Linked DNA regions of Rattus norvegicus. The protein of the gene in region 4 purifies or fractionates together with the protein of the main gene of each other region. This does not show direct contact. Links are inferred from orthologs where the notes say so. Each region holds a gene or a part of one and is shown on either strand. Other genes may lie near its edges. The genes, in order: Nat10, Ngdn, Nol10 and Aatf.

Region 1 (7,501 bases), on a different chromosome or scaffold from region 4:
TATTCGTTGGAGTTCAAGGCCAGCCTGGTCTGCATAGTGAGACTGTTTGAAAAAACTAAGCAAAAAGCAATAAAAAACAGAAAACGATTCATGCTTTCTATTTCCAGCAATTCCTTCCTTATCTATTAGGCAGTAGTAATCTTAGATTATTAGAGTCTTTACTCCTGCCATTAATTGTTCATCTAATTTTGTGTGTAGTTGTATTTCACTTAGTTTTTAAAAGTATTTTTTAGATTTAAAGCTTGTAGTTAGGGACCTTATCTGTTAATTCTGACTCTCCTATAACAAAGCTAGACTCTTTTAACAACTAGATATCCATTCATTTGTGTAGATGTTTATGTGACTGGCAACATAAAACTTACAAACTGAACTGCTTTGGATTTGGGTGGATCAGACTGTAAAGCTGGTTTGTTACATTAATGCCTTGGGATACTCGATTTCTTTGTTCTGCTCTCCTCTTTTAAACAGGAGCTATTTGTTGTGATAGTGTTTTATATTAAGACCTGCTAAAGCCCATGTTTAGGGAAGGGGGTTTTGTTTAGAGTGCAGCAGGTGCTGGGATTTTAAAATCACATAGCCTAACATTCTAATACCATGGGAATGTGATTGATTTTTCTCAATTTTTTTTTTTTTTTGGTGTATTTGTTATGGGTAATTAGATAATGTTTGTGTTTTACTGGATGCTGGAGAAATTGAGTCGGGTCCCCCATAGATAGGCAAATTTTTTACTACTATATACCCAATAATCAGATAGTACTTTCTAAAATCACGGATACAGAGCCATTAGTGTGGCTTCTCACCCAAAGAAACATTGTATCAGAAATATGTTTTTTCTCTCACTTTATAAGTAACATGTGCATTTGAATTTTTATTATGTTTTAATTGTGTATGTGGTGTGTTGTGTGCTGTATACCGTGGCCACGGTGGAGGTCAGAGAAGAACATTGAGGAGTCTGTTCTCCCCACTGGATCCCCCTCCTGGAACTGGGAGATCTGCCTGTATGCACACCACTGCCTGGCAATTCTTATCTTTTGCCATGTGGATTCTGAGGATCAAATTCAGGTCATTGGGCTTAGCAACAAGAACCTTTCCCTGCCGAGCCATTTTACCACACACTGTGAATTTTAAAGAAACCAAACCATAAAAGACAAACATCAAAATAAAATTCACCATATTCAGAAGTTACATTTTTTTCTAGTTCTTTTTTTTTTTTTAAGTTTCACCACCCCCCAGTCCCCCGCCATGTTTTGTATGTGTACAAAATGGGCCAGCAGTGTTACTCAGATGGCAGACTGCTTGCTTGCCTAGCATGCATGAGGCCCTAGGTTTGATTCCCAGCATAGCTTAAAACCTTGTTGTGGTGATATATATTTGTAATTTGAGCAGTTCCCTGTAATCCTAGTACTTAGGAAGTGGAGGCTGGAGGATCAGAAGTTTTAGGCTATAACATCTTGGACTATATAGTGAATTCAAGGCCAGCCTGGGATATATCAGACTCTTAAAATCTCTTGTCTTGCTACTCTTTGGGGCCTATAGAGATATCATTCCATGCTTTAATCATTCTTGGTTTTACTTACTTTTAGCATGCTGTCCTTTTCTTTTTTTACTCCTTCTTGAGGCAAGGTCTCCCTGTAGCCCTGGCTGCCCTGGAACTTACTATGTAAGCCAGGCTGGCCTCCAACTCACAGGAATCATCCTGTTTGTAGCTCCCCTAATTTTTCATAAGCTCCTTGATGGATCGGACAAGCACTCTGCTGACTTTCCTGCTTGCGGACATTTCACCTCTCTGGCTTCCTGATTATAAAACTGAAATCAATGTCTTCCCTGTGGCATTGTTTGAAGATTAAGATTTTGTAATTTTTGTAATTAGGATTACAAATGGGCCTTGGCCACTTACTTGGATGTCATTCTAGTATTTGGTTCATCTGTATCTTTATTTCTGTGTTAGTGATAGTCTTTCACCATGCATCGGAAGAAGGTGGATAACCGAATTCGAATTCTCATTGAGAATGGCGTATCTGAGCGGCAGAGGTCTCTTTTTGTTGTAGTTGGAGATCGAGGAAAAGATCAGGTAAGAAAGACCTGGTAAATGCTTCCTCAGTTGTTGTTGTCCTGTCCCAAAGAGGTTGGCGGGTTTTCTAAGCCTTTTAAAGTTTCAGTACACTGCCATTATGATCTCTTCGCTGGTAGAATCCGTAGTGGGGACATTTGTTCAGTACCTGGGAATGGTAAATTCTCTAAGATTCATGGGTAGAGAGATGAGCCAGTATCCTTGGAATCCTCACATGCTGCATTGGCCTCAAGGTTAAACATGTGTGACCTTAGGTGTTTTCCTTGCAAGTTAGCTGCTATGTTTCCAATGAGGTCTTGGGCCTGGCAGTCCTTACGTTGTCTTTGACGCTGGGATTTTGTGATTTTTTTTTCTTGTCAGGTGGTTATTCTTCATCATATGTTGTCCAAAGCAACTGTGAAGGCTCGGCCCTCTGTCCTGTGGTGTTACAAGAAAGAGCTGGGATTTAGCAGGTAAGCCTTGTCTTTGGATGTCACACCCAGCTTTCAAACTTCTCAGTTAAATTAGGGAGAAAACCCTCGAGTGTACTTGAGGGTTACTTCTATTGTTCAGGCCACTGTTTGCCCTTAGAATAGAAGCCTTTATACTTCCTAGCCACCCCTTTTCTATCTGGCTTTTGCTTCTAAGATCATGATGGCCTTGAGCTCATAGACATTCCTAGAGATTTGATCCCTCTAGTAACAACAGTGTTTCTCCGTTTCTCCTCTTTAGAAAGCTCCTTACACCAGTTCACTGTTACTAGACAGTTGGTGATTTTTACCACCTACCCCCTCTCTCTTTGGTTTGTGGTTCTGGGTATTCACCACAGTACTTAGTGTTTGCTTTACCACTAAGTTACATAGCCAGCCTCTTATTTTCTGATGCTATACTGGTCAAGACTTCTGGTGGCGGGGCTGGAGAGATGGTCCAGTGATTAAGAGTACTTGCTGTGCAATCATGAGGACTCTAGTTTAGATCCCAGCAGCCACACAACAAGCCGGCTGCCTGCACATAGCCTGCAGGTTGAGTTCCAAGGAGTCCAGTACTCTCTGGGCTTCATAAATGCAAGTCTCTGTACATGTACTCTCTGAGCCTGTGTGCATGTACTCACATAGGCACAAATACAGGCACACAGATAAACAAATACATTTTGGAGGAAGACTTGCAGAGGGACTCCAAAGCAAACACCCGTAGGTTCCGTGGGAATGCTTGGAAATAGAAAGGATAATTCAGGGCCTAAGGAGTTAAGGTTTCAGCTCTGCTTAGGGATAGGTAGTCTGGGCCAGAGTGCATCTGTTTCTTGTCAGCCTTGCATCTCTGCAGATCTGTTCTGTGCTTCCTCGTGATGATGGTGAACTAGCTCACTAGCTCTTTTTTTTCCTTCCTGTTTCTCTGGCAGAAACATATTTAGTTTTATGTGTAAGGCCAACCATATGAAAGTGCATAGATGACCCCAAATGGGGCATCACATGTTAATATAGTGAGTCATAGTCATGTAGAAACCTGGCAATTCTCCTTTAACTCTGAAGGAGTTTGAGATGAGGTAGACAGTGCTCCTTGGCAGATAATCCACTCTGTGGACCCCTCTGAGGAACCTTCTTTTATGACTCCTGTGCACTTAGTCCACTCCCTGAGCTTCTCACCTTCCCTATCCTATCTGCCCAGTACCTCACATTCTCTGGATGGCCCTCATCCAGCTCGATAGCCCCATCCTGTGCCAGGTGTCCCTGCCGGCTCCTATGCTGAGTCTGCCATTTCTACCCCCTGGCATCAGCTCCTGAGCCCCCTTGCTTCCTGTGTTGGTCTGCTTGAAGCAGCACTTTTCAACCAGACTCTCCTTCAGGACAGTGTGATTGCCTTTTCTGTTCCTGTCCAGGCCTGCTTTCTTAGATGTTTTCTTTCATTATCTGTCTGTCTGTCTGTCTGTCTTATCTATCTATCTATCTATCTATCTATCTATCTATCTATCTATCTATCTATCTATCTATCTATCTATCAACAGGGTTTGTCTGTGTAGTTCTGGCTGTCCTGGAACTTGCTCTGTAGATCAGGCTGGCCTTGAACTCAAGATCCACCTGCCTCTACCTCCCAAGTGCTGGGATTAAAGGTTGTCTATGACTGCCTGGCCCTATTTTTTCCTTTAAAGTTGTATTGTGTTTGTGAGTGTGTGTGGTGAAGGGAGAGAGAGAGGTGTTTGTGAGTATGGGCATGCAGTGCTGCAGCATGTGTGTGGAAGACAGACGACAGCCTTCTGGAATTGTTTCTTTGCTTCCTCTGAGGAATCTCTCATGTCCTTCCACACGATGGTAAAATTAGCTACATAGGTTAGAGTTTTGTTTGGGATATCTTGACTGTTTTTTTTTTTTGGTTTGGTAAGTATGAGATTGTGTGGAGTCAGGTAATCCTTGGTATTCTGGGAAGTTTTCAAGTTTAACCCACCTGGTTTCATCGTATTAAATTGTTCTGTGTCTCCATGATAGTGGCCCTTGTGTGTAATACCATATGGGCACTCAGGAGCTTGGGGTGGAGGATTGATGAGAGTTGGCTGGTATAGAGTTGAGACAATGTCTCAAAAACTGCAGGAGGGTAGGGAATCTGTGTGTACATCTCCTTGCCTGTCCCAAGCCTCCATTTTTACAACACCATGAAAGAAAAGGGCTTAAGGGAGGAGCCAGAATCGAGTCTGTGTGCCTCAGTTCACACAGGAAGTAGAGGCCCACAAAGGAATGCCTTAGTTCTAGCTATTAAATTTGAAAACAGTGGTTCATTTTTCCTCAGCCAGGGCTGAGGAGATATACCCCTGTCTAGGAAACATATAGTAGCCTGATAGCACCCCCAGCTTTCCCAGGCCCTTTGGAGAATAGTAGTGGGAATATTGGTTTCAAACTTAAGGTGATCATTTGTGGCCAAATATGAGGCTTCCCTGCCCGTTACCCATCTTTAAAGTGGTCTGCTGAAGGTTACAGAGACGAGTAAGTAGTTAGTGTGTGTGTGTGTGGGTGTGTGACTGTAGGTGTAGGGCTGTGTGTGTGGGTGTGTGTATAGGTGTGTGTGTGTGTGTGTGTGTGTGTGTGTGTGTAGATGAAAGGATGTCTTTGTGGGGTTGGTTCTTTCCTTTCACCTTTACAAGATGCTAACCAGCATATCCCAGTGTGCCTCCACTTTCCTTACCCCTTAAAGTGAAGGAGACAGCCACTGTCACACTTTCCCCTCTAAGTCCCCACTAGCTCTGCAGGTCTGAGGATCACTGTGCCTCTTCTGCCCCTGTTAATTGCCTTTCTTGGGATGGTGGTGTTACAGTCATCGGAAGAAGAGAATGCGGCAGCTACAGAAGAAGATAAAGAGTGGGACCTTGAACATAAAGCAAGATGACCCCTTTGAGCTTTTTGTAGCAGCCACAAACATTCGCTACTGCTACTACAATGAAACCCACAAGATTCTGGGCAACACTTTTGGCATGTGTGTCCTCCAGGTGTGTGTCTCCTTCCCCATGAGAGTGAGTACAGTAAGGACGAAGGCTCACATGTGAGCACCCCAAACCCCAAGCATTGTTACTGGAATTATTTGAAAAGGAAACTGGGTTACTCACCCTATAAAAGCTTTTTTTCTGCACTTGACTGGAGATACAAGAAAGTAGAGGACTGCACCACCACAGATTCCTGCCTACCATGTCCAACATAGTAAGTTCTGGGCCAGTGGAGCATGCCTTGGGGTGCTGAGACAGGAGAATTGTGAGTTTGAGACCAGCCAGGCCTTCATCGAGCAAATAGCAATGCATGAGCACTGTGGACTTGGAGTCATTCTAGAATCTAGGTCCTTGTTGGAGCTAGGACTCCCAGCCTGTGAGCACTGATGTCAATTATGCAGCCCTGACCTGCTTATCCACTCATACCCTCTTCTGAGTAAAGAAGTGACCCCTCCCACCTATTCTGGCCTTAAAGAACCACCTACTTTCCTCAGTACAGCTTGGTGAAATTCTCCACTGATACTTGTTTTCTTGTCAGACAAGTTAATCAAACATTTTTCAGTTTTGGTGGATGTTAGATGGTATCTGACTTTATCTAATATCTGTGACACCCCTTTTAAGGCCCCCTCCCCCCAAAAATGATAAAATGTCTGTGTACAAATCCATACATTTTAAATGTACTTGTTATATTCACATATGAATTATGACCATAATTATGTAAATTAGAAAACATCTCACGGAATATAAGTTAAAAATTAGAGTGGTCCTCAAGAATAAGAGTTTTCAGTTTTTCTTTCTGTATCTCTAGTAAGTAACTCTGCTGGCTTCTAGCACACTGGGGAGCTCGAAAGAACATTTTTACCCCAGTGTCCTGTAGCAACTTACCAGTCATCGGGATGCTGGTGCCCCATGTTGTACAGTTTAGTTTTTTCAGGTTGTCTAGAAATTGTCCAAAAAAGGCAAGTAAGATGCTTCTGAAATTGCATGCGAATGAGTGATGTTTAGAAGACTTGCTTTGGATTAGAAATAGTTTCTTAGATTATAAAACCAGATCTTCTACTCCAGGGATGGATGGGCTGCCTCCTATGGTACCCTTGTTTGCTGGTGGGCAGGTGTGAGAGGTGAAGTTTGGGCCTGTGCTCTGAAGCGCTCGTTGCTATCCTGCTGTCTCTTGGTTAGGCAGCCTGGAGTTTGTGTCACAAGTCTTTTTATGGTTTGATTCTTTCTAGGACTTTGAAGCATTAACTCCAAACTTGTTGGCCAGAACTGTAGAAACAGTAGAAGGTGGTGGATTGGTGGTCATCCTCTTACGGACCATGAACTCGCTTAAGCAGCTGTACACAATGACTATGGTAAGAGTGCTTCTTAACCTTGATGCAAAGCAGTTGCTTTTGCTGTAGCTGGTGAGCACCTTCAGTGAGCGGTCAAGTCCAGCAGCCAAGTCCTCGCCACAACAGACAGGTCCTCTCCACTTGTGAGGAGTTTCTGAGAACCATGTTTGCTTTCAGGGAGTTACGGTTCCACACTGGTGAGGTTGAGATGCCATGCCGCTCTGTTGTGTTTGTTCTGTGGCACAGGATCTCACTTTACAGCCAGGGCTGGCTTTGAACTCTTGCTCCCCCGGTTCTAGCCCCCCTGTGCTGGAATTGTAGGTTTGTACCACCACAGGCCTGGAGCTAAACTCATCATTTAGAGGGACTGTGTGCAGGCTTCCTTACTAGCCGTCATCTTCTGAGGGAAACATACCTGCTAGTTCTACGTTAAGTCTGGAGAAATTTAAGCTGTGAGGAGAGGTAGAGCCCTTCCCAAATAAGACATGCTAATAAGTGGGGCTCCACTGACTCACCAGCTCCATTGGGATTGGCAGGTCAGTGTCCCCAGAGCCTTGAGGCTCAGGAATGGGCTGTATTGGCCCTGGCATCTGGGTTTTCAGGTGAGGTGGACTCTCTTCAGATTCTGAGGCTGCCTTCTGTCATTCCCACACC
Region 2 (8,143 bases), on a different chromosome or scaffold from region 4:
ACTCCCTGACAGCTCTCCCACTTACTGAGGCTGCCTGTCACTGCAGTCTTGACCAGTTTGTCAATTTGATATTTCAGCTTCTGGTCCAAAGGACGGAGTTTTTCTAAAACCTACAATGTGAGAATGTGAAAGGATTACACTTTCTTTCCCAAATCAGGCACACACGGGCATCCATGCCTTGTTCCGGATAAGACAACTGAAACATTCACAAATGAGCCAATGTGGATGAAAACGCCTCCCTACTTAGAAAGAAGACCACTCATTCCCACAAGAGCCCTGGAGTGCGAGCCTTAGAAAGTCATACCGTGCGAATCTCCACCAGCCTCAGAACTGCAGGGTGTCCCTGCAGAGAGCCCCCAGAGGCCTTGTCCAGGATGAGGTGGCTCAGGTCCATGAGGTACATGAGCAACAGCTGGTCTTTCACTTCCAAGAGGCTCAGACCCTGAGGTAAACAGTGAGAGACAGACTTAGTCTCAGCCAACGAATCAGGAGGAGCAGCTAAGGCAATACCGGGATCATGTCTTCCCCAGCCAGTCCATGTTACCCGAATCATCCCGTTACCTGCTGTGCCCACAATGCGAATGCTGTCAGTCACTTAGCAGTCACCCCAGCTCAATTGTCAGTTATTAGAGAGCTTTTGTTCCAGGAAAGGCCTATTTTCCATCCCCGACATATGCGTGAGAGCCGTGCCGAAAAGCAGCGCAAGGGCATAAAATGTGGAAAGGAAGATAAACCCTGGTGCTGTGCAGAAGACTGCAGACCACAGAGGGACACACACAGCACAGTCTCGACACCCATAGGAGGTCTTGAGACGCATTCCCATGGATATGGGCGGGTTCTCCAGAAGCATCCAAAGTCGCCCAACGACTAAGAGTGCTGCAGTCTCAGAGCTTCTGACATCTGAGTCCACGTGACTCTGAACGTGGACACCGTGCATATCAGCAGCACCCTTGGGCTTGTCTCATGGACAGGCCCTCCCAAGTTTTAACCATTTTAGATCTATCACAATATAGATAAGACAAGTGATTTATATACACTGATAGGGAACTAAAGGTCAATAGAAGTTGTAGAAAGTGGTTATAATACAGTTCCAGTGGGGCTGTGTGATACACACACCTTCTAAAAAATCTATCGTCATGGAAGACGTGAATGCATTTGTGAGCACACGCATCCAACCCCGAACACATAGAGGTCAGAGGGCACGGTGGAGCGGGTTTTCTTTTTCTACCATCAGGTGGGTTTCAGGGCTGAAACAAGTCTCAGGCTTGCACACACTGCCTCACTCCCTCAGCTGTCTTGCTAGCTGCACACTTTTATATGCAGGAAAAGCCCGAAGACAACACTCAATTAACTGTCTAGAAAGAGGAGGATACCAGGGAAACAGTGCTTGTATGATGAAAAAGTTCCTTTTGAACAAGCGGGTCACTCCAAAAGCAGAGTGCTCATCGGAAAACATGGAAGGATTCAATCCCTAACCCCAGTTGATACGTACACAGGTAAGAAATAAATTAAGCAAATACACCGACTTTCAAACAAAATACAGTAATAATTTGCAGTTATGAAATAAGAGAAAGTCTTGTGTCTGCACAAAATGATACCGACAGTCCACAGCTCTGGGAAAATGTATGTATGACGGGTTAAAAACTTTGGCCAAAAATTACACAGCAAAAATTCAAATGCTAGTCATACTCAGTGAAACTCCATGGCCTGAGTCCTGGGTATCTCTTAAACATGCTTAGCTCTTTATGTCAGCCCTACTGTACGTCCCAGGATGGGAAATGGAATTTAAAACTGCCAAGTTGAGTTTAAATTTTGATTTACCCATTTGGTAGTCAGATATTGGTTATGTCACTTAAACTTGAGACTGTAAACTTCTCATATGTAAAAAGTAACAGAATTCCAGCACTGCCCTAAGAATGTTTTGAAACAAGATAACAAGAAAGCACTTCTGTAACCTGTAAAGCACTTTATAAACGTCAAGGGTTGTCCTCTAATGACACAAATAATCCCCAAAATGTTCTAAAATATTTTTATTTTTTTTCTTTAAATTTTCATTTGAGAGGTAGCCTATTTCACTGCACATCAGAGAATCTAAAATCCTAGCCCTTGAAAGGTGGAAGAGTAAGGTCATAAGTTCAAGGCCAGCCTGTGTTTCATAGCATGCTCCTGTCTAAACAAACAAAACAAAATGAAAAGGGAAAAAAGGTTCAAGCAAGAGAAGAAGCTACTGCATCTCATTTTCAGATTCGTCATCTTCACAGTTTAGGATCTCAAATTAGGATGCATCTTTCAGTCAATGGCTTCTCATCACAGATTAGTGCCATTTTTATCCACAAGTGATGCACTCCAAAAGTGCCAACGAATGTTTGCAATGGCAGAGAACTGAATCCTAGATACACCGTTCTTCCTACGCACTTATACAAATGATAAACCATAATTTACAATCCTAGTGTAAGAGATTAACGGCAGCTAGCAATAGCGAGTAACTCAATTACACACTAAAATACACTATTTAAGGGGCTGGGGATTTAGCTCAGTGGTAGAGCGCTTACCTAGGAAGCGCAAGGCCCTGGGTTCGGTCCCCAGCTCCGAAAAAAAAAAATACACTATTTAAAACTTAAAGAGGTGGGCTAGAACTTTACAGTTATTATTTTCAGACTGCTGTTAACCTCAGGTAACTGAAGTGACAGAAAACAAAGCTGGGGACGTCTGTCTATAAAGCCACCTCGGCCCAAATTAACATCAAGACCACAAGAAAACAAAGGAGCAACTCCTCAGCTGTCCTACGTCGGAGTGACGGCTCCATTCTTATGTTTACCCACATCACACACACAACCAAAATGCATGTATATCCGTCCACAGAATCATCTACTCCCCCACAACACTGCAATAGTGAGTATCTCATATTTATTCTCAAAGTCCAGTTACTTTCTCTGCTTGGCTGGCATATCACTCCTGACTTCTGTAAAGTGGCTGCCACTATTCCTATCTAGCCCTCTGGTCTGCGTCCTTGCCCAAATCCTGTACAGAACCCACACATTACTCACATTTAGGTGAAGCTCTAACTCTCAGGACATTTACCACACAGCAAACCTACTAGAATAAAAACAAACCCAAACCACCAAGCACATCATATGAGGAGATATTCCCTTTTCAAGGTCCCCCCCACCTTTAAGATTTACTCTTATTTACGTGTTTGTACATATGCACACCATACATGTATGGGATCCCGTCATGTAGACCTGAGTGCTGGGAACCAAACCCAGGTTCCCTGGAAGGGTGGCAAGCTATCTTAACCACTGAGCTGGCCCTCCACCCTGATCGAGAACCCTTACCTTCTCTGTAGAATATGCTCCAGCTCGAACTTTTGCTGTCAGTGCTTGTACTTGTGCTGTCACAGCCATCACCTGAAATTAGCCACATTCAATCTGAACAGTTCACCCGACCACAAGCAATGTTTGGGAACAAGGAAGAAGAAACACTAGGTAATGCCACCTAAAAATCAACTGAAATGCTGTCGACGAACACCACGCTCCAAGAGGCAGAGAAAAACTTCATACTGCTTTCTAAAGCTGGGGGAGGGGATCATTAAGAAACCAAGAGAAGGGGATGAGGAGTGGGGCAGTGGTGATGAGGACTGTTCTGGAACGCATTATACAGATTGGGCTGACCTTGAACTCACTGGAGAGCCACCAGCCTCTGCCTCCCAAGTGCTGAGTTTAAAGGTGTGGGCCATTACAAAAACAAGGCTGAGGAGTGTAATTTTATCTGTACCAATAGGACTTAAAAAACATCAAACTATCTAAATGCATATTAAGTGGCACTTATAGCGATATGTCACTATTGCCAATCTGTTTTCTGTTATTTTTTTAGATAAAGGAGTTTGGGTATAACTTAAAAAAAAAGTTTTCTGGGGAGGGGGCTGCGATCAGGATGTTAAGTGAATGAATGGATAGATAGATAGATAGATGATTGATAGATAGATGAGAGAGAGAGAGAGAGAGAGAGAGAGAGAGAGAGAGAGATAAAAGGAGACAATACTCACCTGCTCCTGGAGATTTTTCAAAAGTGTTATCGAACTTGACACCTCTGATTCCAGCACCTCCTACAGATAGGGGACAGGTGAAGGGGTCAATTTCTTACTTTAGGTGTTGAAGATGGCAGAACGTATCGCCTATGAAACTCCCTCCTTTCCTTTAAAACACTCGAGCCTTTGGGTCGTTTTTCCTGAACAGGTATAGGCAGCCTCGGCTCAAAGCCAGTCTCCTCTCACCACACCCCCCAATTTACTGGAAAAGACCGGAGACTTGAGCGCCAAACCCCGCGGCTGTCTTTGCTCCGAGCCCCCGCCACACTGTACGTGACGCTATTTCTGCTAATGTTCTCGGAACATTCTCCCACCTTAAGGCCGGGTCACGAGGCTCTCCCAACAAAGCTCATTCTGAAGAGTAATTTTGGGGGTTTGGCCTCCTGTCCGGAACCAGCCAACATGCAGCGTCTCTCATCTAACATGTGCTATTGATTGTCAGGGCAGGCGCATCCCTTTAACAACTTTCATCACTACTCTTCCATGCTGCTAATTGTTTGCCTCGTTCCAAGGAGGCGAAAGGAAACAACCAGATATCCCTTCCTTTCCGGGAAGAAGCAACGAGACAGAACTCACCGGAGCCTCCATCTTCGCAAAGCCCACCCTTTCCGGGCCCGAACTTCCTGGGAGCTAACCTGAGTTCATAGTTTTGATAGACAATCACAATTTACAAATTTCAGCCAATGGAAATAAGAGATCTTTCATTTCCGCTAATCAGAAAGGCGGGACCTCATCTAGCCAATGGAATAAAGAAACTGCCTAAATGTGTCAGACGCAGAGGCGTGCTTAAAGCGTAAAGATGGGCGGCGACAGAAGCATGTGATTCGTGGTTTACAGAAAATGATTGATGCTACTCCCAATAACTACTGCATAAATGATGGATTGACAGCTAGAGAAACCAATAGAAAAAAGAAATTAGTTGTGCAGCCTGAGAGCTCATTGGCTCCCAGATGCCGCAGAGTCACAGTCTTCTCACAGGGTTTTCCGTGTAGTACCAAAACAGACCGCTGGGTGGCAGCTTCCGGCTATTCTCTGATGCAGTCGGGTTACTGGCCCGCCATTGCCCCTTGAACTTCCAAGTACCCCTTTCCTAGTCCTGTGACCGTCCTTGTACGACAATGGAGCCCTTTTCATCAGTGATTTGGATGGTTACGATAGAGGAGCCAGAAGCCACGATTCGGAAGCCGTCGGCCGCATCACTGGCCCACCCTCCTCGTGTACGCCGAGGATGCTGCGCAAAGGCCGCAGTGCGCCCAGCACTCGTCTCGTGGGAAAAATCGATAGGCGAGGAACCGGCTCAACCTGCGTGCATTCCTCACTGCTCCATTCGTCCACTGCAGAACTGGGTTAAAATCCAGGCTGTGCATATTTCCTTTATCCCCTTCATCTTTGCTCAGTATCGTCCAACACGCCCACTCCCTCGCCTCTCACGGTTTGTGGATTAGGTGGGAGTAACAACTCCCATCGTCCGTCTGCATTACACAATACAGCCTAGAAAGGTGGTGCTGGCTCGGATTTTCCTTGCGCAATAGAAGAGCAGACTTGAGACGGGAAATCTAAAGTGTGGCTTTGCCTTTAATCCTAGATCTCTTTAGTCAAGAGACATGCAGATCTCCAGGAGTTTGAAGCCAGTCTGGTCTACATTGTGAGATCTTGTCTCAATAAACAAAATGAAAAGAGAGCCAGAGCGATGGCTCAGTGGTCATGATGGCCAGCGTTCCATTCCCCGCACCCAGACAAGGCAGTTCACAACTACATTTAACTCCAGCCCCAGGGGGATTTTAGTTTCTTCTGACTTCCTTATAAACAGACAAAGGCATACAGAAAAGTAATTATATGTAACAAATGGGAGTTGGATCTCTTTCTACTATGTGAGTCCTGGAAATAGAACTCAGTTGGTCAAGCTGGTAGGCAAGCAAGTGCCATCTTGTCAGCACTTTCTGTGTATCAGGATTTGCTTGTGAAACCTCTGTTTTAACACTACTCTTCCTGACACAAACAAGATTTTGCTTTCTTTGGAACTTGAAGTTTGTCACGTGTTATGGACAAATGATTACAATATCTGAGAAAATAAATAAAACTGCATGTTATTTTATGTATATGAGTACACTGTCACTGTCTTCAGACACACCAGAAGAAGGCATTAAGTCCTATTACAGGGGCTGGAGAGATGGCTCAGTGGTTAAGAGCACTGACTGCTCTTCCAGAGGTCCTGAGTTCAGTTCCCAACACCTACATGACAGCATAGAACTGTCTGTAACTCCAGTTCTAGGGGATCTGATATCCTCACACCAACACATATTAGGTAAAGATAAAAAAAAAAAATGAAGAAGGGAAAAATAAAAAATACCAATCACCTCATATGTTACAGAAATATTAGAGCTAACAATACAATAAATCTTTATAAAGTTCTTTCAGATTCAACCAGCAAGCAAGAACACAAGATCATTAAATCTGTTTTGACTTTGGTTGTTTTCAACAGCACCACACGATGGTAAGTACTCAGAGCATTTACAAGTATATACTGAGCAAAGAAAAAAAAAAGCTTTCTTTTAGGAATACAAATTTAATGGCGATTTTAATTATTATCATTTTTACCATTTTTGAAAATTTCATGAGCACATATTTACATAATTTCACCCCATAGTCTCCCTCTTCCAACTGCTCCTGTGTCCACCCCTCTCCATTTCAACATCATGATCTCTTCTTGTTTTACACACACACTTGCACACGCACTTGCACATGCATGCACCTGTATGTAGATAGATAGATAGATAGATAGATAGATAGATAGATAGATAGATAGATAGATCTATATAAATGCAATGTGCTGAGTCCATTCAGTGTTGCATATGTGTTTAGGGATATGTTGTGCCGGTTAGTTTTTTTTTTATCAACGACACATAGGGTTATCTGGAAAGAGGAAGCCTCCATTAAGAAAATGCCTTCGTAAGATAGGCCTGCACTCAAGTCTGAATAATGAGAGACGTGGGAGTGGGGACATATCAGGTGGTCCTGGGTTATATAAGAAAACAAGATGGGGTTGGGGATTTAGCTCAGTGGTAGAGCGCTTGCCTAGCAACCGCAAGGCCCTGGGTTCGGTCCCCAGCTCCGAAAAAAGAAAAAAAAAAAAAAAAGAAAACAAGATGAACAAGCCACGAATCAAGCCAGTCCACATCATTCCTCCATAGTCTCTGTTCTAGTCCCTGCCTTCAGGTTCCTGCTTGAGTTCCTGCCCTAACTTCCCTCAGTGGTGCACTGTGACCTTAGAGTCCTGAGATGAAATAAACCATTTCTTCCCCTAGTTGCTGCTGGTCAAGGCGTTCATCACAGCAATAGGAAACAAACCAGAGCATGTGTGTTTCGGGGTGAGCACTTGGATTGAATAACCTGGTAACAATTGGTGTTGTCATCACTGGCCTTGTTTAGACAGCCATATTGTCAAGATTTCACAGTGCAGGGAACCTGTCAGGTGTAGAAGACACCATCTTCTAGCAAATGCCCTGGTCCAATGGCTCTTACCTTCTTCAATCTTCCAACCCCGTGCTGGCCAGCATCATGTCAACTTAACACAGGCTAGAGTCATCTGAAAGGAGGGAACTTCAGTGGAGAAAATGCCTCCCTAAGACCCAGCTGTAGGGCATTTTCTTAATTGGTGATTGATGTGGGAGGGCCCCGTCCATCCTGGGTGGTGCCATCCCTGGGCTGGTGGCTGGGTTTTGTAAGAAAACAGGTTGAGTAAGCTGTGATGAACAAGCCAGTAAGCAGCACCCCTCCATGGCCTCTGCACCAGCTCCTGCCTCCAGGTTCCTGCCCTGTTTGAGTTCCTGTCCTGACTTTCTTCAATGATGGGCTATGATGTGGAAGTGTAAGCCAAAATAAAAAAATAAAATAAAATAAAAAAAAGGAAGAAAGAAAAGAAAAAGTTCCTCCCACCTTGCTTTTGGCCATGATCTTTCATCCTAGCAACAGTAATCCTAACTAAGACACACCCCCTCTCCCCAGCTCTGGCCTTGGGTATGGGAGCTACACTGTAGATGTATCAGGTAGGATGGG
Region 3 (7,501 bases), on a different chromosome or scaffold from region 4:
GATTTGTATTCAATAGAGCAGAAGAAATGGCTCCATGGAGAGAGAGCTTACTCTTCTTTAAGAGGACCTGAGTTTATTTCCAGCACTGACCATCAGAAGGTTCACAACCATGGGTAACTCCAGATCCCAGGAAACTTGACTCCCTCTTCCAGCCTCACTCTCATACAGCACACGCTCATGCAGATTGTCTGTGTAATTTTAAAAATTTTAAGAATAAACAGCAGGTCTAGCAAGGTGCCTTGTGGGTAAAGACACTCGTTGGCAATCTGCGTTTGGTCCAGGTCCCACGTGGTAGAATGAAATAGCTATAGAAGTTATTTGACTATCACACATGCTCTTCTCTGCACACTAATAAATGAAATGCAATAAACTAAACATTTTTAAACAAAAATAAGCTACAGCTGAGGGAATCCTGCAGGACAGCACTCTCAGTGAGTAAGAGTCCCTTTGAGAAGAGCTAAGTGCTTGCTCCTTAAAGGGCTATCCCAGTGGGGCTGGCTAGCATTGGCAAAAGCATTTTCCTGAGTGCTAGTCTTGACTGGATTATTGTGGCAAATCCTGGGCTTGCAGATTTTAATACTGCTTAGTAAAGCATTGAACCATTATCCTTCAGAGAACTGAAATAACTCCTTATGTTTATCCCATGAGTCACCACAAGGCAATCCAGAAAAGACACCATCAAAATGAGATGTATTGTGTTGAAATATTCACTCAGACTTGCCCAGCTTGAAAATTATTTTTGTAACAGAGAAAATAAACAGTCAGTAGTCAGCAGGTTTTAGATAAATAGTAGTAGTTTATGCCCAGTTCCTTTTTCAATACAAACTTTCATGCTTTGTACCCTGCTAACTGTATTTCTGAGTTATTCACCCACTATCCATTCATCAAATATCCAAGGAGTGCCTGGTATGAATGAGCTAAGACCCTCCTAGACCCTGAGGACAGGAAGGAAGGACACATATCTGTTACTCCTATACTAGCAGATATCCTCTGAGTCAGAGAGGTGTGGAAGAGAGAGAAAAGAAAGGGGCTTGATTGAGGGAAAACTCAAGAAACTGTTTGTGAGAGTCTTGTTGGAACTGGCCTTTTGAAAGGTATAGTATTGAGCACTCAGTGGGGTGGGGACAGGTCCCACAGGGCCCTGGAAAGCCATGGAGAACTGTCCAGCTGAGATTAACATCATCACATCTGTCTTCATCAGTCCTTCCCTCAATACAAACACTTTATATAACAATACTGTGTGTTTATTGTAGAATTAAGTCATAGAAGCAGAAAGGGTCCTGTTCAGAAACCCATAGCAAAGTATCTCAGCTTTAAAACAGTGGTATGGGAGAGACTGTACTCCCAAGTACTCAGACTGTCAGAGAGTCTGAGAAGACAGCTGCCACCACCCCTCACCCCCAAAAAGGTCCAGGTGCCTAGACCATACCCAAGGCCAAAGGCTAGTGGAGCTGGCAGACCCAGAGCCAAGTTACCACCCAAAAGGCTATGCAAGGGTGGGGGGAAGGCAGACACCAACTATAACACTGGCTACTGATTTAAATCCAAAAGCAGACTGAAACAGTCGAGGGTAGCCTTGAAGTGTCTAGCATGTTCCCTGTGAAGTGAAGCAAATCTGACATTCAAAGTATAGAGCTGGGTTTTCAGCTTATGAACTCCACAGAGCCTATGTCTTCCCAGTGTATCCCATAGACAAGTGGAGACCTAAGTCTGGGCTTGTGGTATGTGTTGATTTGAAAGATGCTAGCCCTTTCGTGTGATGTGAAAGACTTCAGTGTGCTGAAGATATGTTTAGTATGAAGATATGTTTAGTAAGAAGTAGAATCCCAGGGAAAATATGTTTGTGAGTCAGATAAAAGCCATACATCTGTTTGGTTAAGTGTGCTGAGAGCATCACACTTTTTTTGGCTGCTTAAATTAATCACCCTCACTGGAGCTTTTGAAGCTCCATTTGCAAACTAGTAATATTGAGAGCATTGAAACTTTTATAGGAAAGAGAAAATTTTGTCAGTTACTTAAAAGACTTACTTAGTATATATGTACATGCGCTTACCTGAGTTTATGCACATGATTATGTGCATACCTATAGGGGCTAGAGAGTGTCAGGTACCCTGGAACTGCAGTGTTAGATGTGAGCTGCTGATGTGGGTGCTGGGAGTCAGACTTGGGTCCCCGTCAAGGACAGAAAATGCTCTTAACCAATGAGCCCCCAAAGTTGGTTATTTAGGAATACCTAACATTGCACTTTTAAACACTGAAGCACTGTTTACATCTTATATTTGGATTGCATTTGCCTTGTAACTAGAGTCTGTCCTGAGGAACAGTGAGGTATACTGCCTTCTGCTCTTTAACTTGCCCTCCCCTGCAGAGGGATTAATAAAAACTGGTTGAGGAGTGATTTTTTAATTAAATGTTGCTAATTAAAGAAATTTTAAAGTGTGTATTTTAAGCCTCAAAGAAGTAAGTCATTCTCCTTTCCTGGGGCAGCTAATAAATATCTCATTTGATTTTTTTCCCCTTGTAGTTTATGCCCAGTTCCTTTTTCATATTAAGGAATCCTTACTAATCGTGTAGGCTCTTCCCTTCCTGTTCTACCCTGGATAGCTGGGTGTCTCAGCTTCTAATCTTTATTTCTCTGTCTTCTCTTTGTAGTCACCATCATGTTTTTATTAACTTGTCCTGTTTACATTTTTTCCCTGAAATACATAATTGTACCAACTAGAAAATGTCATGTGTTGTCACCTTCCGCCCCAGACCTGAAGCCTGGGGTGGGGGATAAGGAGAGCCTGAGGTAAGAAGGGAAACCAGCTGCTGCTGCAGTTCTCTCTGACCAGTCACACTCAAGCAACAGACGATGACCTGCCGGGTGGCAGCCACACACTGACTTTCAAAGGGAGAGGAGGGGAGCTTGCTTTAATGTAGAAGTCTGCACACCATCCCCAGCTGTCTCTGATCTTCTGCCATGGCTCGTCCTAACACTCAGCTTGCCTCTCTGAGCAGCCTAGACAGAACAAGTTTTTACAGGCACAGGAGGAGAGAACATTGGGAGAAGGCAGTTATGTGCCCTACTGTGGAGGAAGTCAGGGCGTTCTTAAAGAGTAGTAATTTCCCACAATTGACTTGAAAAGTCTTTTACTTCCCAAATTAAGGTTCTCTGTGGCCCACTTTGTCTCAGTGGCTCCATAGTTCAGAATTCCTGTTAACTTTGAAGCTCACATTGAGAGCAGCCATGAACAGGCTAAGGAATCTGCCTAGGTGGACAGTTTGCACTGCAGTTAGCTCATGCCTCACTTTTGAGTTATTTAAAACATTGCAACTGGATTTTAATTCCTTCCAGTTTGTCATGTGGGAGCTTGTCACTAGGACCACTTGATGGACACGTCTTCTGAAGAGAGGTGTAAATCCATGGTCTCACACACACCTGAAAAGTAAACTCCCTCCTGGAACCCTGGTTTTAGACTTGATCCACATACTGCCTGGGGCAAGTCATTTAACATTTACCTCCCTTTTGCCATCTATAAAGGATAAATACTTCTGTCTCAGGGATGTTGAAAGGATTAATTAGTTAGTCTGTAAAGAACTTTGAAGATGAAAAGTACTTTAAAAGTGCTTCTTAATAACGTTATCGCCTAGAAAAGAGCGCCACTTTTATGCTAACCACTTATGCCTCAGACTGTGCAACGAAGGTGTGCTTAGCATGCTACAGATAGCTAGCTATAAAGTGAAGTGAGCTTCTCATGGTGTGAACATCAAACATTGGTTTCAAAATCGCAAAGGAACTTCACTGTGTAGCAGCTTCCTCAAGAGTGGGGATCCACTCATAATTAGTTACAGAGATCATTCTGGGGAACAGAGGACAGAGGATGTCTCTCACAGTCGCCCCTGCTCCTAGTTCTATCAGGTTTTTGGGTCCCTCAAGGGAAGGTGAAGATGGAAGGTCCTTGGGCTTTATTTTGTTCTTGTGCACTCCTTGATTTGCAGAGGGAAGAAACAGAACTGCAAGGCAAATGGCGCTCTTCCTTTCTGGTTCCTTCTCCTGTGCTCTAGGATCTCATCTGGGGGTAGGCAAGCATTGCAGCCATCCTGGAGCAGGCAGATCTCCAAAACAAGTTAGTGGGGTGGGGATCTAAATGTCCTGGCTTATGATAAAAACATTTCAGTAACATGCAGGTAAGTTTTAAGTATCAGTGCTATTGGAATTTGAATGGGATATCAGTCCCGGATGGGCATATGCATTCCTGTAGTCCCAGAACTAGGAAGGCTGAAGTAGCTTGCCTAGAGTTTAAAACCAGCTTGCACTATAGAGTACAAAGTCTTCCTCTCAGTACGGGCGTGCGCTCTGGAGTGGAGTGTCAAACCTGAAGATACCAGCAGATGTCTCAATGGAAAAGGTATCAGGTGGAATTTACCCAACATTCAAATTGTTTCTGTTCCCTGTCAGTGTGAACAGAGGGATTTGTGTTCAGTTGTCCATGCAGAAGATGGGGATTGACCAAGGCTGATGTAGAAAACCAGAAGTGTCAGGGGACCCCTGTGACAGGAACTCAGCTTCCACCCAGGTGCTTGTAGGAAGTGAACGAGGGGCCGCATGTCCACCCACCTCAATGGTTTAGATACAGAGTGACCAAGAATCACCATCACTGCAGACTATCCCAGGAGACCACAGGCCAGAAACACTGTTTGCATTTTGGTTTTAGAAATATAATCCAGGGGCTGGGGATTTAGCTCAGTGGTAGAGTGCTTACCTAGGAAGGGCAAGGCCCTGGGTTCGGTCCCCAGCTCCGAAAAAAAGAACCAAAAAAAAGAAAAAAAAAGAAAAAAAAAAGAAATATAATCCAGTGAGCTCAGTGGCAGCCATTGAGGTTGAGGTCCATAACCATTGAATTAATTAGTGTTTGTGTCAGCCACTGTTTTTACAGTGCGCTTATGGAAAATGACAGTTTGAGGACAGCTGACTCTCTGGGCTCTGTTAAATGAGTGTTACTGTTTACCATGTGCATGAAAGACGTGTTCATGTGATCAGCCCTGATTAAACCTATCCCAAATAGTCAATCAAAGCATGTTAATGAATATGTCATTCTTTTAACCTCCTACAGCAAAACTCTGGAAGATCGCTTGAAACTTGAAGCAAAACATGGGACCTTGAGTGTGTCAGACACCACTGTTGGCAGCAAGCAGTTGACATTTACTCTCAAGAGGGTAAGTAGTTTCACAATTGTCACCTCCGTCTCCGCTGAAAGGAGCAACACCACAACGTTCTTCTCAAAGCAGTTTATTCAGGAACCTTTCTTTCTGCATGCAAGCAGCAATCTCTCTTTTCTTTTCTTCTCCCTTTCTTCCTCCCCCCCCCCCCAGCACACTCCCTTATATCCTCCCTCAACTCCGCCTCCTCAGTCCAGACTGTGTAATCTCAGTTCATAGGTCCACGTCACATGACCTGATCTTGCGTCATGGTGCACCTGCACAGCTCTCACAATGAACATGGCTAGTTTCAGGTGTATGAGGAAGTCAGGTGCTAGTCACGAGACTTAACTGCAGTCCCGGGCGCCATTTTGGGACTGCCGCCACACCCGCTCCCCACATCCTTTGTGACTGTATAGCTAAAAATGGTTCCCTACACACAATTTTATTTTAATCCACACAGGAAAGCTCTAGGTATGCATATGGCTTTGGGGCCACTCTCCCAAGCTTCTCTCATTGAGGAAGCCTTGTTTCCTACCCCAGTGCTTCCCTATAGCCAGAGCCCCAGCTGGGTGACAGCTACAGAAGAGTATTCATGGGAGAAAGGCCTCATGCTGGAGTCAGCCCTGCTTGGCAACCTATGTTCCTCTGGGTCTCTGTGGCCCATTGTGCAGTCCAGCTTCACAAGAGCTCTGTCTGAGCTCTGTCCATCACCCAGTACTTACCTACAAAGGACTGTGAAGTGACTAGCTTTGCGATGGTCCCATCTGGCTTGCCCAAATACAGGCATTTCCCAGAGTGATTTCTCAGTCAGTAGTAATCTGTTTTAAATTGTCTTGAAGATCCTTTTCTTCTTTCTTCTTCTTTCTCTCTCCCTCTTCCCCTTCCTTCCTTCCTTCCTCATTTGTTTGTTTTGGATTTGTTTTGTTGTTTCTGCTGTTTTGAGACAGGGTCTCTGTATATAGTCCTGGCTGTCCTGGAACTCACTCTGTAGACCAGGTTAGCCTCGAGACCCGCCTGCCTCTGCCTCCTGGAATTGCAGGTGAGCACCACCACTGCCAGGCAAAGAGCCATTTCTGAAGCACGATGTAGTCCTAATGCCTTTTGCATATTGTGGGAGGGACTAAGTTGCTTAAGTATCTGCCATTAGCTAACAAATAACACAACATGGTCTCTTTTCTCAAAAAGATAATTTTTTCCTTCCCAGTCATATCCCTCAATGAAGTCATCAAGTAAAAAGGGCGACTGCAAAGACAATTGCCATCCCCTATGGCTCCTTCTCTAAACTGACATGTCACTTACATGCTGTAAAATCCCCCAAGGTTTTCTTTTTAAGTGTATGTTCTTCACTTTTTAACAATATACACAGAAGGAGCTCTGTGTTTCACACAGGAACATACACTTAGCAGTGGAGTTCTTGCAGTTCTGTCAGTCTGTGATTTATTCTCTTAAATAGGTCAGAATTTTTACGCTAAAACTACTTGATGTGTTAGGCTTTTTTTCTGAAATCAAATGAGCAGAGTATAACTTGTTAACACAAGGCTTATTGTCAGCTTTACTGTCTGTAATCTATAAGGAACACGTTTATGTCTCCTTTGAAACAGGAGCCGTCTCTAGGAACAGACCCACAGTGTCTCTGCGTGGCTCTGTCCAACAGACCGTAGTGCAGCACTGCTCTCATTCTATAATCATAGCCACTTGTCTCCCAGAATGAGACAAGCAGGAGCCCTGAGCTGTCTGAGTGGCTGCTCATCTGGTCAGTTCTTTCAGCGAAGTTGGAAAACTTGACAGGAGAGGACTTGCACACCCCCTCATGCTAATTAATCCCTCACACTCTCTTTTTTTTCTCTCCTTCTGATGCTTACTATTGTTTCTCCAGGTCCGTGCATATGTAGGTAACACTCTGCAGCTAAACTCCACCCCATACTCAGCAAGACTGGCAGTGACTTCTAATAACATTCACTAGGTTTATAACTGTCCTGCTCGAAGCTTTTGTATCAGAGCTGGGGAGATAGCTCAGTGGAGGAATGCTGGTCACAGACCCCAGCTCTGGCAGTGAGACGGCTCAGTCATTCCCACCCCACAGAACTGTTAAGTCAGAAGTCACAAAGTTGAATGTCACTTTGTAAATTTGTGGTAAAACGAAAAGATGAGGAGATACCCTGAGACTTGCTTGAAGTGACACCAGCGCTGAATCAAAACCCTTTGGGAGAATATACTATGTCAATTAATGATTGATTTATGAGTTGTATTACTTGATTGGCATGCTCTTAATCATTTAGTTTATCAGTGTTAAATATATGTTTAAAGATATATTTGT
Region 4 (7,501 bases):
TGTTTCTGGAAGTCTCTGTGTCTCTACTTATTTTAGGAAAGACCATTGAGTTGGCACTAGGAAGGGCCTTAGGGGTCAGCGTTTCACTTTAAAAAGAATCCTAAAGCCCAGTTAAGCTTTTTATCTCATTTCATTTGACTTTGTTTCCCGTTAGCATTTTAGAGATGGTAGATGGTTCAGCTGAATAGAGCACAATAACATGTTTGCTTTTTCATATAAGATCCCATAGACTAGGGGTTGGGGATTTAGCTCAGTGGTAGAGCACTTGCCTAGGAAGCGCAAGGCCCTGGGTTCGGTTCCCAGCTCTGAAAAAAAGAAAAAAAAAAAAAAAAAAAAAAGAAGATCCCATAGACTAATTGAAATGAAAGATGTGGCCTGGTATGTTTCTCTAGGTAATCCCTTCTCCTTTTTTTCCTTATGATTTAGACAATGAAATACCTGATGAAGGAGGCTCTGAAGCTGGGGATTCAGAGGGCCTGGAGGAGCTCTCAGAAGATGTTGAGGAAGACTTGGAAGGTGAGAATGAGGATAGTTTTTATCTCAGAATTAGGGGAGACTGAAGCAGGGGGATCAGGAGTTCAAGGCCAGCCTGAGCTACACCTGACATCCTGTCTCAAAGGAACAAACAAATAAAAAGAAACCTAGAACTCAAAGTTACCAACTTCAGGTTAATGTCTCACCCTAAAATGAGGGGGAGAATGTGCAATGCATAACGGGTATTGGCAGGGCTCTGTGGTAAAAAAAGTTGACATGTGCGTGGTGCTTTTTATATTTTGACTTTTTGTTTTTCAGGTCTTGTATTGGTTTCCTGTGTGTTAGTTACTCATGAAACTGACCTCTTGTCATTGTAAATGAAAACATAATGCTTCCATCTTTCCTGAGAAAGAATCAGCTTATGGTTTTAAGCAGTAGTGCATTTCTCAAGGTGGAAGAAGTCTCTGGATATGGATACTGAGAGGACGCCATTATTTTAGGGAGGTCAGCGGAGCTTTGTTGAGGGTCCAGTGATAATGTCTGAGGAACTTCTTTCAGGTTATGATAAGTGCGATTCAGTCCCTGATGTAGTTCTAAGGCTTTGTCTTCAGAGTGTGTTTCAGGCTACCAGGACTCATGCTCTGTCTGTCTTTGTTTCCGTTAGCATTTTAGAGATGGCAGATGACGTGGTAGATATGTAGTAAGTGTGTTCAGCTGAATAGAGCACAATAACATGTTTGCTCTTCCATATAAGATCCCACAGACTAATTGAAATGAAAGACGTGGCCTGGTATGTTTCTTTAGGTAACTCCCTTACCCTTTTAAATCCCTTATGATTTAGACAATGAAATACCTGATGAAGGAGGCTCTGAAGATGGGGATTCAGAGGGCCTGGAGGAGGAGATCTCAGAAGATGTTGAGGAAGACTTAGAAGGTGAGGATGAGGAAGACAGAGAAGAGGACAGGAACAGTGAAGATGACGGCGTGGTGATGGCCTTCTCCGGTGTTAAAGTTTCTGAGGAAGTGGAAAAAGGAAGAGCTGTGAAGAACCAGATAGGTGCGTGTGTGCTTTTGCTGCTTGCTTGCTTTTCAGAGTTTCTGCATCCGTCTGCTCTTTAGTTGTGGTTGTTCTGTCTCTCCAGTGTCCGTCCAGTTAGTCTGTGACCAGAGGCCTGCATCCCAGTTCCTGTATAGCTGCTTAGCAGGTTCTGCACTAATCCTTGTGGGAGGTTGAAGAGGAGAGTGTTGTCTCCTCTTGTCAACGTTTCCTCTCTCATAGCAAGAGAGAGAGTTTATTTTCTAGAGCGAGGAATGTTTGTATAGCACGAAACTCATCGAGTATGCTGCTTAGAAATTGGTGTTCTTGTCCTTCAGAGCCCAGCCCAGAGAGACCTTCTGACCCTGACACGGGGTTTTCTTTTTACTTTTTTCTTCAGCGTTGTGGGACCAGCTCTTGGAAGGAAGGATCAAACTACAAAAAGCTCTCTTGACTACCAATCAATTGCCTCAACCAGATGTTTTCCCTGTCTTCAAGGACAAAGGTGGCCCAGAATTTGCCAGTGCTCTGAAAAATAGTAAGAATACTCATATCATTTTGGGGTATACTGGATTGGATGTAAAAAATAAAAACTTTTTTTTTTTTAATTTTAGGTATAGTATACTATAGAATATCGGTTTTAGTTCTTCGGTTACATTTGAGCTTATCTAAAAAGCTGAATTATCAACCCTTCTTCTAAAAATAGCAATATAACTTATTATCAGATGAAGACAACTGTAAAGTGTATTGGGCATATGAGCCATGTCTGTTTTATGATATCACTTGCCAGCCTTCTCTGGCTTTTTGAGTTAATTCTTAAAGTTTTATTGTTCTTTTTGATTTTTTTGAGACAGGGTTTCTCTGTGTAGCCATGGCAGGCCTGGAATTTGATCTGTGGACCAGGCATGCCTTGAACTCATATCTTCCTGCTCCTTGACTGGAGTGCTAGGATTAAAGGAGTATGCCACCACTCTGGATGAGTTACTTCTTAAAGTATTGGGAAACCTACAGATGTAGAACAAAAGGGAGTGAGAGATTGAGTAGTTAAACTCAGTCCTTATGCTGGTTGTAACAGATTCTTAAAGGATGCATTCCTCTGTCAGGAGGGCTTTGGAACAAGTTAAATGATGTTATTCCTATCTTTCCTTTGGATAACAAAGAGAAAAGAGACTGACTGCAGGGGAAGAATTATTTTGGAAGAGAATTATTGCGCTATAAACTCAAAGAATTCTAGAGAAAAAGAATCTAGAGGTTACTTGGTTCCTAATTCCTTCACTTTACAGATGAGAAAACCAGAGATAGTGGCTCACTCAAAGAGTTTGTTCATTAACAAAAGGTGTAAAACTCCAGCTTTTTTCCCCTTAAACCAGGAGTCCCCCTCACACTATGCTGTCTCCTGTGTATCCAGTGGCACCAGAGTACTGGGGCACAGGGAAATGTGAGTCTTGGGCAGCATGGCTACCCTAACTTGTATGCTGAGAAGTTGCTGTCCTGGTTATTTTGGAGACTAAGGCAGGAGTATCCTTTTAGCCTAGGATTTAAGGGCATGCTGAGCAACCCAAACAAAAACAAAACAAAAAGCCCCCATGAAACCCAAAATGTAACCTTTTATAGTAGGGAGTTCAATTTGGAACAGCATTGAGGACATCTGGTCTGGTATCGCTTTTAAATAGAATCATTTGAGCACAATTCAGGATGCATGTGCAACTTTGAGGATAGAAATTTCATTTCTCTTCCTTCCTTCCTTCCTTCCTTCCTTCCTTCCTTCCTTCCTTCCTTCCTTCCTTCCTTCCTTCCTTTCTTTCTTTCAGACAGGGTCTTACTATGTAGACCTGCCTGGCCTCACAGAGATCTACTTTCTATCTCCCCACTGCTAAGATTAAAAGGCACAGGCTACCACACCTGGCACAGCATTTCTTTTGTAGACTAAGCAGTTAGAAATGACTTTCTGTGGACAGTTTTTAGTTTTGTGGTCTGTCATATTCATACTTGAAATTTGTTTTCTGTGAAATCTGGGCAGCCTTTTCAGGATCAGAGTGTGTATTGTGAGACTGATCTCTCCTGACTTCTTTTTTTCCTCCCTAAATACATGATATAATTTTTTTTTTTAGGTTTCTGGAGTACTTCTTGGCTATTTTTAGTGTCCTAGTATCCTCATTTCTGAGATGCCTTTGGATGAACTCTAAGCTGCTCTAGAGCAAATGTTTTAAACATTTTATAGTAAGAGCTTTAACATTTTGTTACTTATTAGTCTTCTTTCCTGAATCTTTATGAATATTCACTAAAATACAGGTATTTCTGGATTAGCATTGCATACTCGATTTCTTTATCTTTATCTTCGAGTAGCTTGCATGTTACTTTAATTCTGCTTTGTGACACTTCTGGCCTTTCTAATTCTTTGCACTTACCCAGTTGCCTTGTCCTGGTGAGCATCTATCACTCTTAAGTCTGTTAGTCTGGCACATGTAGGTTGTAGTAGAAGAGAGAAGGACGGACAGAGTGTTGTTTGCTACTACATTCCGAGAGGATGGGGTGGGGGGCTCTAATAACCAGACTTTCCATGCAACTGAAGGGTAGGGGGGATCTAATAACCAGACTTTCCATGCAACTGAAGGGTGGGGGGGATCTAATAACCACACTTTCCATGCAACTGAAGGGTGGGGGGGATCTAATAACCAGACTTTCCATGCAACTGAAGGGTGGGGGGGATCTAATAACCACACTTTCCATGCAACTGAAGGGTGGGGGGATCTAATAACCACACTTTCCATGCAACTGAAGGGTGGGGGGGATCTAATAACCACACTTTCCATGCAACTGAAGGGTGGGGGGGATCTAATAACCAGACTTTCCATGCAACTGAAGGGTGGGGGGATCTAATAACCAGACTTTCCATGCAACTGAAGGGTGGGGGGGATCTAATAACCAGACTTTCCATGCAACTGAAGGGTGGGGGGATCTAATAACCACACTTTCCATGCAACTGAAGGGTGGGGGGATCTAATAACCACACTTTCCATGCAACTGAAGGGTGGGGGGGATCTAATAACCACACTTTCCATGCAACTGAAGGGTGGGGGGATCTAATAACCAGACTTTCCATGCAACTGAAGGGTGGGGGGGATCTAATAACCAGACTTTCCATGCAACTGAAGGGTGGGGGGGATCTAATAACCAGACTTTCCATGCAACTGAAGGGTGGGGGGATCTAATAACCACACTTTCCATGCAACTGAAGGGTGGGGGGGATCTAATAACCACACTTTCCATGCAACTGAAGGGTGGGGGGGATCTAATAACCAGACTTTCCATGCAACTGAAGGGTGGGGGGATCTAATAACCAGACTTTCCATGCAACTGAAGGGTGGGGGGATCTAATAACCAGACTTTCCATGCAACTGAAGGGTGGGGGGATCTAATAACCACACTTTCCATGCAACTGAAGGCGGCTGCTTCTTGTTTGCCTCCATCTTATGACGTGAGACTTAATATGTTACATACACGCCTGTCTGGATGTTTTTCAACACTATCGGGGCATATTCTTGGTAACTAGTGTAAATAGTTAGTATGAAACAGGCCAAATCTATACCAATTCACTTTGCTTTTGATTCAGTAGGTTTTTGTTTGTTTTTCTGAGACAAAGTCTTCTGTCTGGCTCAGGTGCTGTGTAAATCAGTCTGGTTCAAACTTAGACCTACCTGCCCTTGCATCCAGACTTGGGATTAAAGGTATGCTTAGTCAGAACAGTTATAGTTAGATTTCCAGGGTTTGTTGTTCAGTTTTAGACAGTTCTCATGTACCTTAACCTGGCTTTGGACTAGCTGTGTAGTAGAAGATAACCCTGAACTCCTAATTCTCTTGCTTCCACCAGCGTTAAATAATGCTGGATTATTTACCTTTTTATTTATTTATTTATTTAGAGACAGTGTCTCATGTATTCATGTTGTCCTCTACTTTGCTGTGTAGTTAAGGATGGCCTTGGACTTCTGATCTTCCTGCCTCCTTCTCTAGTGCTAGGGGTAGAGTCATGTGTGCTGCCATGTCTAGAGTACAAGTACCCTAACACCCTGCCTGGTTAGACACTATCTCAGCAGTTGATTAACTCTATGGTCTTAGGCAGGTTACTTCACAGTAAGATAGGACTAATATGGTTGTGAGAATTAAAGGCCACAATCAATGTAAAACATTGTAGTTACACAGTGTCTGGCATACATTCTTCCGTAAGAACTAGGTACCAGAGTTATCTTTTTCTGTTGATAGACATTTGGCAATGTTCAACTATGTGAACATGTATTTTTACCATCTTCTTTTTTTTTTAAGATTTATTATTTTTCTATTTTATATGAATACACTGTAGCTGTCTTCAGACACACCAGAAGAGGGCATTGGATCCTATTACAGATGGTTGTGAGCCACCATGTGGTTGCTGGGAATTGATCTCAGGACCTCTGGAAGAGCAGTCAGTGCTCTTAACCGCTGAGCCATCTCTCCAGCCCCTACCATCTTCTTACTAGTATTTAGAATCCCTGTGTAGTTTAATCTAATTATCGTCTAGTGTTATAGTCTACTAATACTTGTAAAACCTACCTCTTATGATGCTATAGAAAGGTAGGTTGATAGTGATTTCCTTATTGCAGAAGCATTTAGCAAAGTATTTTCCTTTTTAATATTGGTTATTAGTGTGTGTGTGTGTGTGTGTGTGTGTGTGTGTGTGTGTGTGTGTAAAAACATGCAAGCTGGAGCAAACAAGCACAAGTGTGTACATTAGACATCCCAAGATGGAAGTCAGAGAATTTTGTGGGGTTCCTTGTCTCTTACCTTAATGTGGGTTCTAAGAATAGATTTTAGCTCATTAGACTTGAAATGAAAGTACTTTTACCTGCTGTTCCATCTCACTGGTCCAACCTTGAATATGTTTTTGGGGTTTTGGTGACCCCAAGTACACTGTTTGAGTTCTCCTACCTGTCTGATCTCTTCATAAGTTCTTTAAATATATATATGATTTTTAATTTTTTAAAGAGATTTATTTACTATGTATACAGTGTTCTGTCTGCATGTATGCCTACAGGCCAGAAGAGGGCAACAGACCCCCCCCCCCCCCCCCCCATATAGATGGTTGTGAGCCACCATGTGGTTGCTGGGAATTGAGCTCAGGACCTCTGGAAGAGCAGCCAGTGCTCTTAACCTCTGAGCCATCTCTCAAGCCTTGATTTTTGATTTTTTTTTCTTTTTTCTTTTTTTTCGGAGCTGGGGACTGAACCCAGGGCCTTGCGCTTGCTAGGCAAGCGCTCTACCACTGAGCTAAATCCCCAACCCCTTGATTTTTAATTTTTAAAATTATGAGTATATATGTGCACTTGTGCACATGAATGCAGGTACCTCTGGGGGCCAGAAGAGGGCATCAGATCCCCTGGCTGGACTGATAGGCAGTTGTGAGCCATCTGGCTTGGGTGCTGGGAACTGAACTCCAATCCTATAGGAGTGGTAAGCACTGTTTATTTACCTCTCCAGCCCTTCAAGCTCTTCTCTCTGGCAGTGTAAACTGCAGTGAATACAGGATTCTGTTCTTAGGTTGTGTATTTTCAGTATATTTTCCTTGCACTATCATTTACTCTCAGGGTCTTCCTGATAACTTTTAAATAGACGTAATAGCCATATTTTAGCACTGTAGATCCCTAGAACCAAGTCTGTACTTTCAGCACTTCAAAATTGACTTTTCAGAAATGTGAGGAATATTTCCTCGCTCTTAGTCTCCAGGCCCCTTGCTGTTGTATATTGGCAGTTATATCTCTTGAACTGTGAAGTGATTTCCTAGTAGCTGTGTAAGATTAAGCTGTAGAGTAACTGTAACAAAATTCAGGGACACTCTTCACACAAGCTACTTCTCCAAAGATATTAGCTTTCCCCCTTTGACTTTCATTTAACCAGTCTTAAAACATCAGGAATTAGGGCTTTCCTGTTGGTGACAGTGTTGTGTAAGAAAAAGGCAGG

The links.
Region 1: the proteins of Aatf (region 4) and Nat10 purify together in Homo sapiens (affinity purification with mass spectrometry; 3 studies listed by BioGRID and IntAct, with this or other methods). This does not show direct contact. The link is inferred for Rattus norvegicus from reciprocal best matches to the Homo sapiens genes AATF and NAT10.
Region 2: the proteins of Aatf (region 4) and Ngdn purify together in Homo sapiens (affinity purification with mass spectrometry; 3 studies listed by BioGRID and IntAct, with this or other methods). This does not show direct contact. The link is inferred for Rattus norvegicus from reciprocal best matches to the Homo sapiens genes AATF and NGDN.
Region 3: the proteins of Aatf (region 4) and Nol10 purify together in Homo sapiens (affinity purification with mass spectrometry; 4 studies listed by BioGRID and IntAct, counting the BioPlex papers as one, with this or other methods). This does not show direct contact. The link is inferred for Rattus norvegicus from reciprocal best matches to the Homo sapiens genes AATF and NOL10.

The regions. Positions count from the first base shown.
Region 1 is NC_086021.1:110,596,616-110,604,116, reverse strand, and holds part of Nat10 (RNA cytidine acetyltransferase), read left to right. Parts: intron 1-1,948; 5' UTR 1,949-1,963; coding exon 1,964-2,071; intron 2,072-2,431; coding exon 2,432-2,523; intron 2,524-5,350; coding exon 5,351-5,522; intron 5,523-6,745; coding exon 6,746-6,868; intron 6,869-7,501. UniProt on the Homo sapiens protein: RNA cytidine acetyltransferase that catalyzes the formation of N(4)-acetylcytidine (ac4C) modification on mRNAs, 18S rRNA and tRNAs.
Region 2 is NC_086033.1:32,456,597-32,464,739, reverse strand, and holds the start of Ngdn (neuroguidin), read right to left. Parts: upstream 4,727-8,143; 5' UTR 4,676-4,726; coding exon 4,664-4,675; intron 4,623-4,663; exon of another isoform or gene 4,402-4,622; intron 4,106-4,401; coding exon 4,046-4,105; intron 3,408-4,045; coding exon 3,336-3,407; intron 443-3,335; coding exon 305-442; intron 111-304; coding exon 26-110; intron 1-25. UniProt on the Homo sapiens protein: Part of the small subunit (SSU) processome, first precursor of the small eukaryotic ribosomal subunit.
Region 3 is NC_086024.1:45,943,553-45,951,053, forward strand, and holds part of Nol10 (nucleolar protein 10), read left to right. Parts: intron 1-5,096; coding exon 5,097-5,199; intron 5,200-7,501.
Region 4 is NC_086028.1:69,880,678-69,888,178, reverse strand, and holds part of Aatf (protein AATF), read left to right. Parts: intron 1-426; coding exon 427-516; intron 517-1,315; coding exon 1,316-1,531; intron 1,532-1,910; coding exon 1,911-2,048; intron 2,049-7,501. UniProt on the Homo sapiens protein: Part of the small subunit (SSU) processome, first precursor of the small eukaryotic ribosomal subunit.